Alligator mississippiensis: one gene and its partner. The protein of the gene in region 2 interacts with the protein of the main gene of each other region in a pairwise test. Links are inferred from orthologs where the notes say so. Each region holds a gene or a part of one and is shown on either strand. Other genes may lie near its edges.

Region 1 (8,433 bases), on a different chromosome or scaffold from region 2:
TACCTCCAGCACAAACATTTAATGAATGAGGTATCAGCTTACACTGGGAAGGCAGCATGACACTTTGGGATGCTAGCTTGTAGGACAAATTTGGCGTTCCTTCTCACATGGAAGTGGACAGTAACAAGTCTCAGGAACTGATATATTTGTCTACAGAAATAATATTATGGCTGATTGATCAGGCAAGAAAAAGTAACATTTGACATGGGGCTTCTCCCCCAGCTTCTTACCTTTTTTAAGGGAATTCAGCGAGATCATCTCTGTCGGAGTGAAAAGGTCCGGTTCCTAGGAAAGCAAGGGAGTGAAGAGACAGCAAGTTAGACATTTCAAAGAGAATATCAATCTGAAGGATCCCTCACTATTTCCAATATGAACTCTCTTTGGGCTGAGACAAAGCTGAGGGATCTGACCAGATTCCAATTTAGACGCCTGTGTTCTGGGAAGCTTCATCTGAACGCAGCATCTCAAATTTTCTGCCTTAGCTTGCTGAGTAGCATGGCTACACGCTGTTTAACAGCTGCTGTGTTATATCCTAGCCATAAGGGAAATGATCCCTCTGAATATTAAAGTTTTCAAAAGCCTTGGAAATTATCTGGATAAAAGCTGCTACTGATTTACAGGTATTTGAATTTTGACTAGTTCAGGTCACGTGGGACTGAAACACAATACATAGGTCGATGGTTTCTGTGATTTCTCTCAGGGTTTTTTCTTTAAAACACTGGCATACATCTGTGAAAGATTTTCCACATATAAAGCAGCCTGAATTCTTTTGCATTTGCTTTTTCCCAGCTAAGAAGTTATGAATTTTTTTTCAATATGCAGCTTTGCCTGCAGTTTCCTCAACAGGAGCTTAGGACATCTGGCTGGGAACAAGAAAAATGCCAGGACCACAAAGCTTAATTTGGGAAAGGATCTACTCAGCCTGATCACTTAAAGGTAGGACAATTTTAGGGTACATCTGATAGAGTAGCAAGGATTTTGTAACAAACTGGAAGCAGAGCTGGGCGGGCTTCCCATTCAGATGACAATGTCCATATTCATATTAAAATATTAATCATCCACTGTAATTGTTAATAGTAATTATTATTAATGTTAATATTATACTTTTGGAGTGACCACTGCAGTCAATGGGAAAATCCTATTTATTCCAGGGAGACAGAATCAGACCTAATGCAAAGCCTCTTTTCAGAGTAGAGCTACATGAAAACAGCACTCGGAGATGTTCCCAGCATATACACAAAGCCAGACCTTATTTTAGTGATAAAGAGTTTAAACTGCATGGAAAAGCTGAACTAGGCAAAAAGCGATGTGGCTTCTTCTCCATATAAGCAGGATCATAGGAAAGTAAAGTTGGACGGGATCTTGCAAAATCATCTAGTCTAGCCTCCTGCTCAAGGCAGGACCATCCCTAAATAAACCTTCCCAACCAAGTGTTTGTCCAACCTGCTCTTGAAAATATCCAAGGATGGAGATTCCACAAGTCCTCCAAGCAGCCCATTCAATGCTTGACCACCCTCAGTCAGGAATTTCCTCCTCATTTCCAACCTAAATTACCCTGGCTGTAGCCTGAGGCCACTGCTCCTAGTCCTATCCCTTACAGCCACAGAGAAAAGCGCATCTCCATCCTCTTTGCAATCGCCTTTCAGGTATTTGAAGACTGTGATCAAATCCCCCCTCAGTCTTCTCTTCTCCAGACTAAATAACTGTAGTTCTTTCAGCCTTTCCTCGCTTCCCAAGCCCCTAATCATTTCTGTCATGCTTCGCTGGACTTTCCAATCTGTGCACATTCTTTCTGAAGTGTGGAGCCCAGAACCGGACCCTGTACTCCGGGGGGAGGCCTCCCCAGTGCTGAACAGAGAAGCATCGCTTCCTGTGATTTGCAAGTGACACTCCTGTTAGTACAACCCCGGGTGCTGTCGGCTATTTTTACAACGAAATCACGCTGCTGGCTCATATTCAGCTTATGGTCCGCTGTCACCCCCAGGTCTTTCTTTGCAGTCCTGCAGCTTAGCCAGTCATTCCCCAGCCTGTATTTGTGCATGCAAGTATTTTATCCCAAGCGCAGGGCTTTGCACATTTCCGTGCTGGATCTCAGCTGGCCATTTTTCCAGTCTGTCCAAGTCATTCTGTATCCTACCCTACAAAGCGCCCGCAACTCCATCCTACTTGGTGACATCCTCAAATTTAAGTGTGCACTCAATCCCATCAACCAAAACATTCATAAAGATGCTGAACGACAGCAAACCCAGGACAGAATCTAGGGGAGCCCCGCTTAATACCTCCTTGCAACTAAACATTGAGCCATTAATGCCTAATCTAATCTAAGCAAGTGGTTTTCAATCTTTTTTCATTTGCGGACCCCTAAAAAATGTCAAGTGGAGGTACAGAGCCCAGTGGAAATTTTGAATGGAAGCACAGACCCCTTTGAATTATAAGTGTGAGTATTCACATACTTTTGATTGATCACGGACCCCCTAGACATAGTCTGCGGACCCCCAAGGTCCACAGACCACAGGTGATCTAACCAGTTACGTATCCACCTCGTAGTACTTTCGTCTAGTCCTCTTTTCTTTAGCTGGCGAATGAGACTGTCATGCGAGAGCGTTTCAAAAGCATTGCTAAAGCCAAGGTCTATACATCACATCCACTGCTTGCCCCCCATTCACATAGCCTGTCACCTTATGGTAGAAGGAAATCAGGTTGGTCAGGCATGACTTGCTCGTGGGGAATCCATGCGGGCTGTTCCTGATCCCTCGGCTGTCCTCTCGGCGCTTCGCAAGAGACTCCTGGAGGACCTGCTCCATGATCTTCCCAGGTATCAAGGGCAGGCTGACTCCCCAGGTCCTCCTCCTTTCCTTCCTTAAAGCTGGGCACTATATATTTGCCCTTTTCCTCACCTAACCTCCAAGCGCTTTTAAAGAGGACAGCTGGCTCCAGGAGGTCTGGTTCTTCAGGCTCTTCTTTCCTGCATGGATCCAAGCTGTCAGTAACACATACGTGCACCCTGGACATGAGCTTACAACTTATAACACTCATTACAGTTGTATTCCCTCTCCAAAGAGCGTACGAGGGACCCGATCCCAAACGCCGCTCGCTTACTCAAATATTCACGGCAAAACTCTCAGTGGAGAGGAAAGGCAACCGAGAAAGACCTCCTGCCTCAGTCTACGCGGACGACCAAGCGGTCCCACTGCGGTCGCAAGTAATCACGTGTCTTTTGAGCGAGCGAAACTTCCCCGGAGGCGATTCACGAGCTAAACGCTGACAAACCGGGCGGCCGACCTAGACGGTCGCACGCGGGGACGCACGCCCCAGAAATTCATCCATTTCACAGATTTTCGGGGTCGCACGAGGCCTCCGCAGATCGTCGGGCGGCACCTTCTGGCGTAGCGAGCGGCTCGAGCGGACTCCTGCCCCGCGTCCCAACCGGTGTCCGGCGCCAAGAGGCAACGCGGTCAGCGAATGACCGCTAGCGGCCCCCTAAGACTCGGCAGGATAATGAGCCTGGCGGAGCCGTCCTCTTCCTCCGGACCGAGACGAGACGAAGGGCTCCCGTGTTTCGCGCCCCCACGCGCGAGGAGGGGCGGGCCCGCGACTAACGGGCACGAGGGGCCGCCGCGAGGCGTGATGGCGGAGGATGCCGGAGCTCGTTCCGGACCCCGGCGATGGCAGCTTTGTTTTTGGCCCCGGCGGACGCGGCGCCGAGCTGCAGGCGGTCTGGCCCGGGCTGGAGAGTCTCCACAAAGCCGGGCGCGGAGGATGCGACCCCGCGGCCCGCCCGCGGACCCCGCCCCTCCCCGCGCCCGCGAGCTTGGGGGCTCGGGCCCGGCCCCCCGCCCTCCACCCCGCCCCGCCGGGCCCCCGCACCGACCTCCTCGCAACTCCGCGGCGCCGGCCCTCGCCCGCCGGGACTACCGCTCCCGGGCGCCCGCGCGCTGCGCTTCCGGGGCATGGCCCGGAACTGAACGCGCCGACTTCCGCCCCGCAGCCCGGCTACCGGATGTGGGGGGGAGACGGCGTGTCGCCATGGCAACCGGCGGGGCCAATGGGAGCGCGGGGGCGGGGCCAATGGGGGCTGGCGCGCCTAGGGGACAGGGATCGGGCAGTGCTGCTACATAGGATCAGGATGCTGTATGGGATTGGGCAGTGTTGCTATGTGGGGCTAGGCTGCTATATGGGACCTGGCAGTGCTGCTATATGGGACCAGGATGCTATACGGGACGGGGCAGTGCTGCTATGTAGGGCTAGGCTGCTATATGGGACCTGGCAGTGCTGCTATATGGGACCAGGATGCTATACGGGACAGGGCAGCGCTGCTATGTAGGGCTAGGCTGCTATATGGGACTGGGCTGTTATATGGGACTGGGCAGTGTTGCTATATGGGACCTGGCAGTGCTGCTATATGGGACCAGGATGCTATACGGGACGGGGCAGTGCTGCTATGTAGGGCTAGGCTGCTATATGGGACCGTGCTGTTATATGGGACCGGGCAGTGTTGCTATATGGGACTGGGCAGTGCTGCTATACGGGACTGGGCTGCTATATGGGACTGGGCAGTACTGCTATGTGGGGCTAGGCTGCTATATGGAACCGGACTACTATATGGGACCGGGCAGTGCTGCTATATGGGGCCAGGTTGCTATATGGGACCAGGCTGCTGTATGGGGCTGGGCTGGGCAGTACCGTATGGGACCAGGCTGCTATACAGGACAGGGCAGGGCTGCTCTAGGGACTAGGATGCTGTATGGGACCAGGCGGTGTTGCTATATGGGACCAGGCTGCCCTGTGGGACTCGTCGGGGGGCTGTATGGGGTCAGGTTGCTAGACAGGACAGGGCAGTGCTGCTGTATGGGACCAGGCAGCGTAGGACTGAGCTGCCCTGTGGGAGGTCAGGGGGGCTGTACAGGCCCAGGCTGCTATACGGGACAGGCCAGTGTTGCTGTATAGGACCAGGCTGCTATACAGGACCAGACGTGTGGCTGTATAGGATTGGACTGCTACAGACCTTTGCGACGCCCTCCCTGCTCACATAGCAGTACTGCCCAGTCCCATATAGCAGCCTAGTCCCATATAGCAATTCAAGGCACTGGGTGTGACCTACAAAGCCCTACACAGCCAGGCCCCGAGGGGAACCCGTCCCTCTGCCCCGCAAGGGCAGCCTCCTGCAAGGACCAGCCGTGTGCTGAGTCCGCTGGGCTGGAACGGGGGGAGATGGCTGCCAGCCACCACGGCGCAGCCCTGGAGCTCCCTCCCTCTTGAGGCTGCCTGAGCCTGGGTGTTTCTGGCTGCTAAATGCCCAGGGGTGGATGCCGGGGGATGCAGTGGTGCATTTGCACCCCGCTTTGAGTCCGGCTCCAGCCATAGTTTAAAACCAGCTGCCGGGCAGTGACGGCAGCGTTGCTGGTCAGGCAGCGCTGAGGGAGTCCGTTGTCACCTATCAGATCCCTTCTACACCCCTCATCCCACAGGTGTGGACGACCCTCTTCCTTTCAACGGTCTTGATGTTCCAGCGATCAAGCATCCTTTGGTCTGCAGTTCTGCTGTCCATTGCCTGCGCCTGGTGCTGGAGCTCCTATTTCACAGCCCTGCAGATACTGCTTTAATTCCAGTGAAGTTGTATTTGTTTTTGCCTCAATTTTAAACAGACTCATCCAGCCCCAATCCCCAGGCCTATTAGTAAAGCTTCTAGTTTCTTTTCACCTGGAGAAAAATAGGTGTTCTTTATATGTGATGATGCGCCTCACCATCTGCACCTTGCTTTTCAACATCCTAGATCCGTAAGTCTGCAAGTTCCTAGATCCATAATCAGCAATTTATGGATTAAACTAAACAGGATTTGCTCTGGAGCTGGATGCTTTAATGCCACGCTCTGTAAGACTGGCTTGGAGAACCGTCCGGTATGTGAGTGTGGTGTTGCACCACAGACTGCTGACCACCTCCTCACGTCTGCAACACACCCACGTACCCAGGATAAAGGCCTGGCAAGCATCCACAATAAAGCTGTTGTGTGGCTCTGCCATATTAATGATGTGTGGAGGGGGAAATTAAGTATATGAGAGGGAAAAGAACATCCTAGATGTACTCATGTAAATGCCTGCCTCACCGGAGCTGGGCTGAGGGGCTATGTCGTGGGTCTCTGCTTTATTCTGGTTTTCTCTGAGTCGGTTTCTCGTGCTGCAAGCTGCCCTGAGTCTCGGTTGGGAAGGGGGCACGTGTATCACGCAACTAGAGTCCCCTGGCTAGGTCCATGGTCCAAGCTGTCTAGATCCTGTCTCTAAAGGTCTGTGGGATGTTGCAGGTCCTGGCCCTGCAGTCCGTTCCAGCTGAAAGGTGTGGGTTTGGGGTGCGATAATGTGGGTCTGGGTCTTTCTTTGGCTGGAGCAGAGCCCAGTCCTGGAGAGCGAGGACATGAAGGCCATTTGTGCCACTGCAGTTCTCACGTGAAGCACCAGAGGTCAATAACTGTTGCATTTTCCCCTAATTAAATGGTTGTCTGCTGCAAGCCCTGCCTGCGTGCTTTAATTGTAGTTGATGCAGGGCTTGGAGACAAAGAAGGACGCGCAGGGAGCAACCGGCACAGCGAGAGAGAAGCAGAGGGGAAATTGGGACTGTCCCCGGGCACGTACAAGGTTAATCAGGAATTCATTCCAGCCTCTCCAGGTGACGGTCCTTGCGAGAGCCATGTTAGGGTGCTTTCACAGAAACACCTGTACTAGGAGATAGTGCCTGATTGTCCCTGTGCCCTCCTCTGTATAGCAAACGTCACGTGTACTCTTGTGCAACGAAGCTGGAACTGTACATGTCACAGATGTCTTAAATCTGAAGCCAAATTCCAACCTTAGCAAGCAGGGTATTGTTTAACCATACCCTTACGAGGAATTATACAAATCCTGCAGCTCATCTCAGACATGTTGTTGCTCTTGAACCTGGGCTACGTTATTCTCTATCAAATGGGTGTCCGGTACCTTTCAGGAACAGGTTCTTTGTGCCCACACCTGGGCTGGATTTGAATCTGCCATCTTGAGGTGCAAGACCCCAAACCATTGCCATTCCTCATCCCAGTGACACCTGTGGGACTGCTTCTCGGGGTAAAGGGAGCTGTGTGTGTCTGCAAGATCGAGCCCCTCATTTCTGGTAACTATCCATCCACAGGCGTCATTGCGCTCAAGGGAAATGTAACGTGTCAGCATTTGGGGGTATTCCTTTAACAGCCTCCTCATTTTTCATTGCCATGAGTGGCAATGAGTGCAAGGTGGCAAAAGCCTGCAGCAAGACAGCAGCCCTGGACTTCAGGAGGGCAGATTTCAATGAGGTAAGGAGACTAGTTGGAGAAGCACTGAGGTCCTGGAGGGGAGGGGAGTCGGGTGTCCAAGAAGAGTGGTCGTTCCTTAAGGAGACGATCCTCCAAGCCCAAAGGGAGGTAATCCCAACATGGGTCAAAGGGGCAAGAGGGTGCAAAAGTCCCCATGGCTCACCAAGAGCATACGGGAACGTCTCCTGGCTAAAAGGGAGGCGTACACCCAATGGCAGGGAGGGACCATCCCCAGGGAGGACTACACCTCGGGTGCTCGGGGCTGCAGGAGGGTGGTCAGGAAGGCCAAGGCGGAGATGGGACTGGGACTAGCTACCTGGATCAAGGACAACAAGAAGTCCTTCTTTAAATACATAGGGGGCAAAAAGAAGGTGCCAGGTAACGTGGGACCTCTGCAAGACACGCTAGGAAATCCGGTTGTCACACCAGACGACAAGGCTAACTTATTTAACAATTTCTTTGCCTCCGTTTTCCTGAGCAGGGACCGGATCAGCCCGTCCGCCGGGACCCCCTCAGGCCCCAGGGGAGGCGCAGCCAGGCCTAGGGTCAGCGAGGATCAAGTCAGGGAACTTCTGGAGGGACTGGACATATTTAAATCAGCTGGTCCTGATGATCTCCACCCCCGAGTGCTGAGGGAATTAGCAGAGGTCATTGCGGGACCCCTGCACAGCTTTATGAGCACTCGTGGTGCCCTGGCATTGTACCAGAGGACTGGAAAAGGGCCAACGTGGTCCCCATCTTCAAAAAAGGGAGGAAGGAGGACCCAGGGAACTATAGGTCAGTTAGTCTTACCTCGATCCTGGGTGAGCTTTTTGAGAGAGTTATTCTAGCGCATGTCCACGAGGGGCCGGCAGGGCAGATCATGCTTAGGGGCAGCCAACACAGGTTCATTCGAGGCAGGTGCTGTCAGACCAACCTGGTGCCTTCTACGACCAGGTCACAACATCCTTAGATGCAGGGGTAGCAGTGGACGTAGTCTTTCTGGACTTTAGGAAGGCCTTCGACACTGTCTCTCACTCCATTCTCGTTAAAAAACTAGGGGGCTGTGGCGTCGACACCTCCACAGTGAGATAGGTCGCTAACTGGCTGGAGGGCCGCACCCAGAGAGTGGTGGTGGACAG
Region 2 (8,422 bases):
ATTAAATAGCTACTTTCACTTGTAAGAATACTAGTATGTTGCTATGCATAGTTTTAAAGAAGGTTCTTTAAACAAGAATAAGAGAACCCAATCCAAGATGTTGGAGATATTTAGCTAGTGTATACTGTACATCAGTTACAGAGACCACTGTATTATGCTCTCCTTAAATATCTGTTCAGCCCTTCTCATAAAGGAGCAACAGAACAATTATGGACCAAGAGGCACACTGCTCTGCATTTGAGGAATATAGGGAAGGATCTAATCCAATAATTTTCACACCTCTAGTTCTGATGCATCTCATTTTCTCTGCTCTCATTTAAAACCATCTTAAGCAGCACTGCTTCTGTTTAAAATAAAAGAACATTCTCCTGGAAAGTATTCTACAAGTCATAGGCACTGTATCAATACATATTAGCAGGAAGCAGTAATATTTGAGTCTTACATCACATTGCCTTACTCTGGTGCACATGTTTAATTTAGTATTTTAAATTATATTTCCATGCTAAGCTGTTTCTGTTTTCTTTTTGTAAGCCATCCTGAGCCTTTGTTGGGAACAGTGGCACATTAACTGAATAAATAAAAACATGAACTCTAACAAAAAATCAGATTATGTATGTGAAGAAATGATATTTGCTGAAAGGTAGTAAGCAAATAGAGCTACTGTGCAAACTTCAAATCACAATCGTTACCAAGTCCATCTAAAAGCAGAATCTCTCAGTGACTGTAACAGGTGCTCTGACTACTGAAGAACTGCAAAACCAAGGCCTTACCAAGAAGCAACTATGTGAGATTTTACAATAATACTTTGATGTGGAAAGTATACAAGCTAGACCTGGACCATTATCTTCATTTTCACTTGTGACAAAGCTGAGCTAAAGTGCTAGTAACAGTACTCAGTAATACTTAATGCACTGGAGCTGTTTCTTTGGCTATTTCCCTTTTAAAGCCTCACAGACTTTGGGAGCTATGAGCATAGGAGAGTCATAGTAGTGTTTGCCATATACCTTACTATGCCCAATCTATACCTTAGAAACAAAGGTAAATTAACAAAAGATACACTAACCTGATTTGACTGTCCAGAAAGGTAAGGTTCAAAGTCGTTATCATGAACTGTATCCTTCTGATGTAATGAACCATTTTGTACTAAAACAAAACATTGCAACATGTTATTACATTGTTTAATAACATTTCAATGAAGAACCTCATCCTAAATTAACTGTAGAAAAAAATAGAGTACAGTAAATCCTTCTTGTGACATTGTCATTAATCCTTGACAAGGAAAGGGGTCAAATTTCTCTAAAATGAAAGTTTCCCAGTGCACTCTGAAAATCATTACTGCTTCCAAAACTAATTTGAATGACAATTTCAGAACATCTTATACTCAATTTTTTCCTACAGCTTGCAAGTTATAGTCAAATGAAGAACCTGCAATTTTAACAAGGGTGAACATGCACGTTATCTCCAGGAAATGTTAGAATCACAGAAAGGCATTTCTTGAGAAGAATGTGTGAATATGACTAGAGGACATAGCAATAACAGGTGTCCCTACTCCATGCCTATGACAATACAAATAGCAAACATCTGCTGTTCATACTGAGTTCTTTAAAAAGTTGTGTCAGCAGTGATAAAATAATGGCTGTTGGGTGTGTATTGCTTGGAAAAGCCAACAAAATGCTATCTTAAGCTTCACTTCCCTCACCTGTAAAATGGAAATACCTAGCTAAAACAAAGGGACATTTCAGGCTAAACATCAGCAAAGCTCTCTAAAAGGCACATTGAGAAGGTGCTATATAAAAAATGCAAAATGGTTATTTAAATTGCATCACACTTTATTTCTGCCAGTTATTGTGAAGCATAAAGCAAGCAGCATGCATTAAGTCTTTGCTAAGTAATCCAGCAGTTTCATAGAAAGGCTAAACTAAAAACAATGCCAGAGAAAAGAAAAATGCAAATACAATTCTTTTCAAAGATGACAAAAATAGTGACTTAAAATGGGTATGCAAAAGTAAAATAAGTTCAGGAAAAGCTGTCAAGGAAAATAGAACAGTATGTATAACATATATATAAACATAACTTATGTTATGCATACTGCATTTCCTGGAGATATATGCATAACATAAGTTATATATATATATATATATATATATATATATATATATATCTCCAGGAAATGTAGTATGCATAACATAAGTTATGTTATATATATACACAAGTGGAGAGATACCAGGAAGAGCACATACCAACTGCTAAAACTTCCTTAGCCTGACGAAAGGTTTTTTGAACCCAAAAGCTTTCTTAATAACTATTCTCCAACTATTTGGGTTGGTCTAATAAAAGATATCAAATTCACGCAAGGAACCTTGTCTGCCTATGTCCTTAGACCAACATGGCTACAACCGACACCCCTGTAACATAAATTAATGCATTTATAGAGCAGAGGAAATAATCTGAAACTTGTTAAGACTACAGCAGTTTGAAAAACCATGAAAAATGAAATCTGAAAGACATTTGTATGGCAGACCTACGCCTATGTAAACTAATAGGGGACCTGCTTCCATGCTAACGAGTATGTAATTATTCACCAATAATATTACAGTAACATAACTGACTTACAACTAGGCTAGTTAACTCACGAGACAACTTGCTGGCAAAGTTAAATATTTGATAAAGGAGGTCATACGCGTTGTCATACCGGCTTATTACGGGTATTTGTATCGTTCGATTAAAACGACTTGTAGGAAAAGAGTTGTAACACACCGGCCAAATCCAGCCCAACGACAGAAAAATAATGATATAACAGAAGCAACCTTGGGTGCGCGTTTGTGTTTTTAATTGGTCTTTTAAAGACTCTTCCACGCTGCATTTGTAGCCTTATTGAAGGCATCTTTACAAGAGAGGAGTGTGTGTTTGTAATCAAGCAGCCTCACAGGGATGAAACATCGAAACAAAAACGCTCAAAACACCCGCGTGCCAGGAATCCCATCCTTTACACAGCGTGCGTGCAAGACACCAAGCTCAGCTCCCGATGATGAGAAACCACCGTATCACCGACCTGCTTGCTCCGACATTTAAATAAGATGCAAATAGAAAGATGCATACCCCCCCCTTAAAATTCCCCCCCCCCCCCCTTCATACCTTTATTTTCCTGTCCTTTCGGTCTCTGCGATGCCCGGAGAAGAGGAGGTGGCGGGGGAGGGGGGGAGAAAGAGAAGAAAACTAATCAATTTTGTGAAATGTTTTTGCACAACCCAAAAGTTTGAGGTGGAGAATGACCCCCCCCCCTCCTCCCCCCACCCTATTAGGTTTGAGATTTCATACCACGCACAGACACGTGTGTGTGTGTGTGGGGGGGGGGGGGGGCTGATTTGGCCTTACCTGGAGCTGGTGTTGGGGTGGGAATACAGGGAAGGAGAGGGAGGGATGGACGGACACAGACGGGAGGAGGGTGGGGGAGGGGGGCTCACCTGAGGGTCGACGCTGGTGGCAGACATACTTCATGTAGGGCCCGGGGGGGGCGGGCGGCGGGCGCGGGGCCCGTGCGGGGGGGAGAGGCGCCCCCTGAGGCCGGGCGGGGGGGTGCGGGGGGGGGCGCGGGGAGGTGCGGGGCCCGCGGCCGCGATGCAGCGCGAGCCTCCAAGTCCAATGGCGGCGGGGACCGGGCTGCGGTGACGTCAACGCCGGAGCGCGCGCGGGGCAGGCCGGGAAAATATGGCCGGGCCGGGCTGGGAGGTGGGGGAGTGCAGAACCTGGCGCGCATGCGCGACTCTCTAGTGGGCAGGCGGGGGGAGGAGGCTGCAGGCGCTCGCGGCCCGACAGGGGGCGCACGGGGTTGGGCTCTGCGCATGCGTCCCAGTGCCCCCCATGCATGGGGATGACACAGCCCAGGATAGCAGTAGTGGCTCTTGGGAGGGCAAATGCCTGATGCTTTTGGGGGCCTTAACATTTTGCAATTTTTTTTTTTTTTAAGGGCTGATTTAATCCTTTTTCAACTGGGCTGAAGAGCAGCTTTTGGGGGCCCTAAACTTTTGCAATCCTTTTTTTTTTAGGGCTGATTTAATCCTTTTTTTAACTGGGCTGAAGAGTAGCTTTTGGGGGCCCTAAACTTTTGCAATCCTTTTTTTTTTAGGGCTGATTTAATCCTTTTTTAACTGGGCTGAAGAGCAGCTTTTGGGGGCCCTAAACTTTTGCAATCCTTTTTTTTTTTTTTTAAGGGCTGATTTAATCCTTTTTCAACTGGGCTGAAGAGCAGCTTTTGGGGGCCCTAAACTTTTGCAATCCTTTTTTTTTTTTTTTAAGGGCTGATTTAATCCTTTTTCAACTGGGCTGAAGAGCAGCTTTTGGGGGCCCTAAACTTTTGCAATCCTTTTTTTTTTAGGGCTGATTTAATCCTTTTTTAACTGGGCTGAAGAGTAGCTTTTGGGGGCCCTAAAATTTTGCAATCCTTTTTTTGGGGGGAGGTTTTTGCAAGGGTCAAACTGGTTCCCCCACCCCTGGGATTGGATGCTGTCCATGCAGCCTCTACCCTTGCAGTGAAATGCAGCCGCTGCAGTTCTCAGCGAGCGCCACCCACTTTGGGATCAGATTGCTTGTCATGCATCTCTTCGGTGATGTATTTTACCTGCCTTAGGCAAACCTCGCATCAGGAACTTTATTGATCCATAAGCAGTAGCTTCCTTTCTTTTCTCTCTCGCTCCGCTCGCCGTCATTTGACCCTACGAAGAACGTCTTGCAGTCGAAAGCTTGTCTAACTCTAACCCAACGACGTTACTGGTCCAGTAAAAGAGAGCACCCAAAAAAATCCTGACCTTACTGTTTAACAGAATATAAATGTCAGGTGATATTGTGGCCTAGCAGATCTCGCCCTTTCCCTTTGCTTTGTAGAGACCCCTTTATGACCAGTCATTAGCACCATGGTGACAATTTTTGATCTGACTCATGTATTTTGTTTTCCGGCACAATAATATGCAAATTCCTAGCTTGGAAAAACTAGCCCCATTAGCAAAGCTACCATTGATTTCAGTAGGACCAGGTTTTCAACCTATACATTTCAGGGAGCGTCGTCATTCACCTGTGTGTAGTACTGGTACGTGGAGAAATCAAACCGATATTGCTGGAGCAAGGTGTCTGTTCCTGCTGAAACCATGTCAGAGTTGAAGCCCTGTAGCTTTAGAGAAAGGCCTGGCATTTCTCTAATGAGATCAAAATTATTGAAAGCAGTGCCCTTTTAGTCCTAGCAGCTGAATCCCAACTTGTTAGCCGCTGTAGCTCTGCTTCTCCCTGTAGATAACGGTGCTTTAGGAATGGGTAGAGTGTTTAGCAACCAGATTCATTGTTATTTGTATTGCAGCAATGCCCCAGAGCAGAGCCCCGATCATGGATTAGGGCTACGCTGTGATAGGTGCTGCACAAAGAACAAAAACAATCCCTGTCCCAGACAGCTTACAGACTTTTAATTGCTTATTATTATAATGCAAAAGGTCTAAGTTAATATGTTTTCTGTCCTAATAGGATATATCCTAATGTTTTTATTTTAAAATTTCAGAGCCAAACCATGCTCTTTGTTGATATGACGGTGAAGAATCTGCATGTGCCATTGTTATATTAACATTTATTTGGTGTTAGTGCTCAAAGACCTCCGCTGGGTCAGAGGCCCCACTGTGCAACCAGTGAATGCAAGCTTTTCTGGGCAGAAACTGCCAATCTAAAGTCATGCGGCGCTTCCAACAGTGGCAATGTGCTTGCAGGTCAGAAAGTCTATCCAAATATAGAACCCAAATACTCTACTGCCCTGGGAGCCTGTAACACCATGACAAAACCTGCTGGTCCCTGTGCACGCAAACAAACGGTGAGGTTGACCGTACAAAGCTCGTAGACTCTTCTCTCCCACTCCTGTCTAAAGCAGGCATATTGCATAGCTGTCGAATATGCACCACAAATGCTCTGGTAGCTCAGTGGTCCACGTAGCTTATCACCTAATACAAGTGCCCGTCATCTGCCTGGAGAATGGGAATAAAGGAGGCTTATATTTGAAAAGAGCATCTGTATAATGCATGGCTATGCATGCCCAGAAACCTGACTTCCCTTCAGAGGTATCATACAGCACTCAGGGTTTTTCTATGACCATAGTCTCTTTTTTAGCTTGAACCTGACTCTTTTTGATTGGTTCCCTGACACACACATACAGCATCTGCTGTTATAGGATATGAGTGATACAACAAAGCACTAAAGAAAATAAAAAGAACAGACTGTTGAGGCCTATTTAACATAATGTGCAACTGCTGGAGCTAACACATGGCTTATAATCTGCTACAGAATACCGCACTACGTTTTATATTAGCCCATTGTTTTATTTGAAAACAACAAAAGAAATGATTGCCACAGTGCTGCATATTTCTCCAAAAGAAAGCTGGGGCTGCTGGTTGGGGATCTCCAAGTTATATCACAGTCCTGCTTTAGGGAAGAATTCGCTCATGGAACTGATTTCTAATATTTTGCAACAGGATATTTTGCTGCTCAGAGCAACGGGGTGGCAGAGGACTTCTGTCACCTGAGATGTGCACAAGCTCTGCCAAGAACCAAACCGTGTGGTGTCAGTAATCAGTCTCACCGTTATGTAACACGGATGTTCAGCGTTCTGGTAACACCGGTCAAGCTTTCTGTGTATCGGCAGATAGTTACTGTAAATCTTATATGCATGCACTCTATTGTTAGATTTTTTAGAAGTAGTATATATCAATGCTTAGGAAGAGTGACGGGCTAAATATTAATAACCTTGTCCTTAGATCAGCTACAATTATGATGCAGACAGCAATAGTGACAGTTTCCCTATCCTTAAAAGTTGCAACCCACTTAGGGCTAGGTTTTGGTTATGATCAGGTAGTTGGATTTGTCTGCTGCTAGAGATCAAAATGAATCCTCTGTTCCTCCAAGTTGAATGATCCAGTCTTTTCATGTCCTCTTTTCCACCAGTAATCAAAGGAGAGATGAGAAAGGTAGGGGATCAGTGCAACAGCTTGTCACTTGTGGATGTCTGAGCTCTAATTCTGTCTTAGTTTCCAAGTAACAATTGGTTTGCAAGTAAGAATTGGTCCATCCCAATTCCCTTTGTCTTTGTCCTTAACATACAACATAGTTGGCACTAAGTCTATAGAAAAGCCTCTGAAAGAACCCCGCATCTCATTCAGGACTACCTTCACTACCTTTAGATACAAACTTCACATATGATAAGTGCAGAAAGGACTGCCATTCAAGGATTGGGCTTTAGAGCCATGCTTACAGACGTTCAACGAGCTGATGCCTCACTTGGCACAAATCTATTGTCTCATGAGACAGACAGATGCCTATTATTATTAGTTGTCAGTCTATGCCCTGGATAATCTCTGGAATTAAACAGAAGGAATACGACCCAAAAGTACAAGGCAAAAAGGACAGAATTGTGAGATTAAAGCTAGTAGTTGGGAGAAAAAAATCTAATTGCGGAAAATAAAGAAAGCAATAGGCCCAAAAATTTCCCAAAAGGAAAGAAAAATGCCCCTTTCCTTTTCCTTAACCTATTCTAGGGTTCATGAATGTCACTTCCTTCAATAAACTGTGGCTAAAAGAGCAATTGAAAAATGAATTTGGGGATGAATCATAAAAAATGATTACAAGATACAGTAATGAAAGATACCACTTTTCACTGTTATTGGTGATTACAAGTTTCCCTTGCTTTATGCGGGTTTTCTATGTAAGAATTCGCTCTTATGTGATGACCCTTTTTATACCAAAAAATTTGCCATATGAGAGGTAAATTCACTCTTATATGATCGATGTGGTGGAAGCCCGCAGTCCGCTGCTTTGTGCGGTGCATGGTGGGAGTGACACGCACCAACATAGTCTCCTGCACAGATCTGTGCTCCTCGCTCATGATCGGTAACACGTGTTTCTGCAGTTGCCATGCCCATTATGATAGCGCCTTGTGCTTGTGTGCACTGTCTGCTGTTGTAAAAGTGGTAGAAATGGATCTGGGGGTCAGTACAGTCGAGGTCTTGCAACGTATCCCTATTTGTTACATTGTCAAGTGGGTTTCCTTTATGCAAATATGAATTATACACCATTTTCCAGGAGTGCATGTACAGCATAAAATGAGGGAAACCTGTACTGTAAATTTAGGATTTTTTTTTTTTATTAGGGGAGAAATCCAGATTTGAATAAGCAGGAGACTATTGCAACCAACGTAGACAAACAGGATTGGATCCTCCCTTTCACTCCTTTCTCTCAGTATACTCTGTGTGGCTGATGGTTATGCAGCACAGCAGAAAAACAGGCCCTTGTGCAAAGGAACCATCAAACTGTGGAAAGCTAGGGTGGAAGTTCAGCCTAAGATGGAAATAAATTTTAAAAATAATATGATTCATGCACCATGATCATTGTCAGATAAGGA

What was found.
Region 1: the proteins of YTHDF1 (region 2) and DHX30 interact in a two-hybrid assay, tested with the Homo sapiens proteins (2 studies listed by BioGRID, with this or other methods). The link is inferred for Alligator mississippiensis from reciprocal best matches to the Homo sapiens genes YTHDF1 and DHX30.

Annotation. Positions count from the first base shown.
Region 1 is NC_081828.1:217,718,596-217,727,028, reverse strand, and holds the start of DHX30 (ATP-dependent RNA helicase DHX30), read right to left. Parts: upstream 3,790-8,433; 5' UTR 2,805-3,789; coding exon 2,679-2,804; intron 286-2,678; coding exon 231-285; intron 1-230.
Region 2 is NC_081832.1:4,251,690-4,260,111, reverse strand, and holds the start of YTHDF1 (YTH domain-containing family protein 1), read right to left. Parts: upstream 3,646-8,422; 5' UTR 3,492-3,645; coding exon 3,465-3,491; intron 3,161-3,464; coding exon 3,136-3,160; intron 1,146-3,135; exon of another isoform or gene 1,144-1,145; coding exon 1,064-1,143; intron 1-1,063.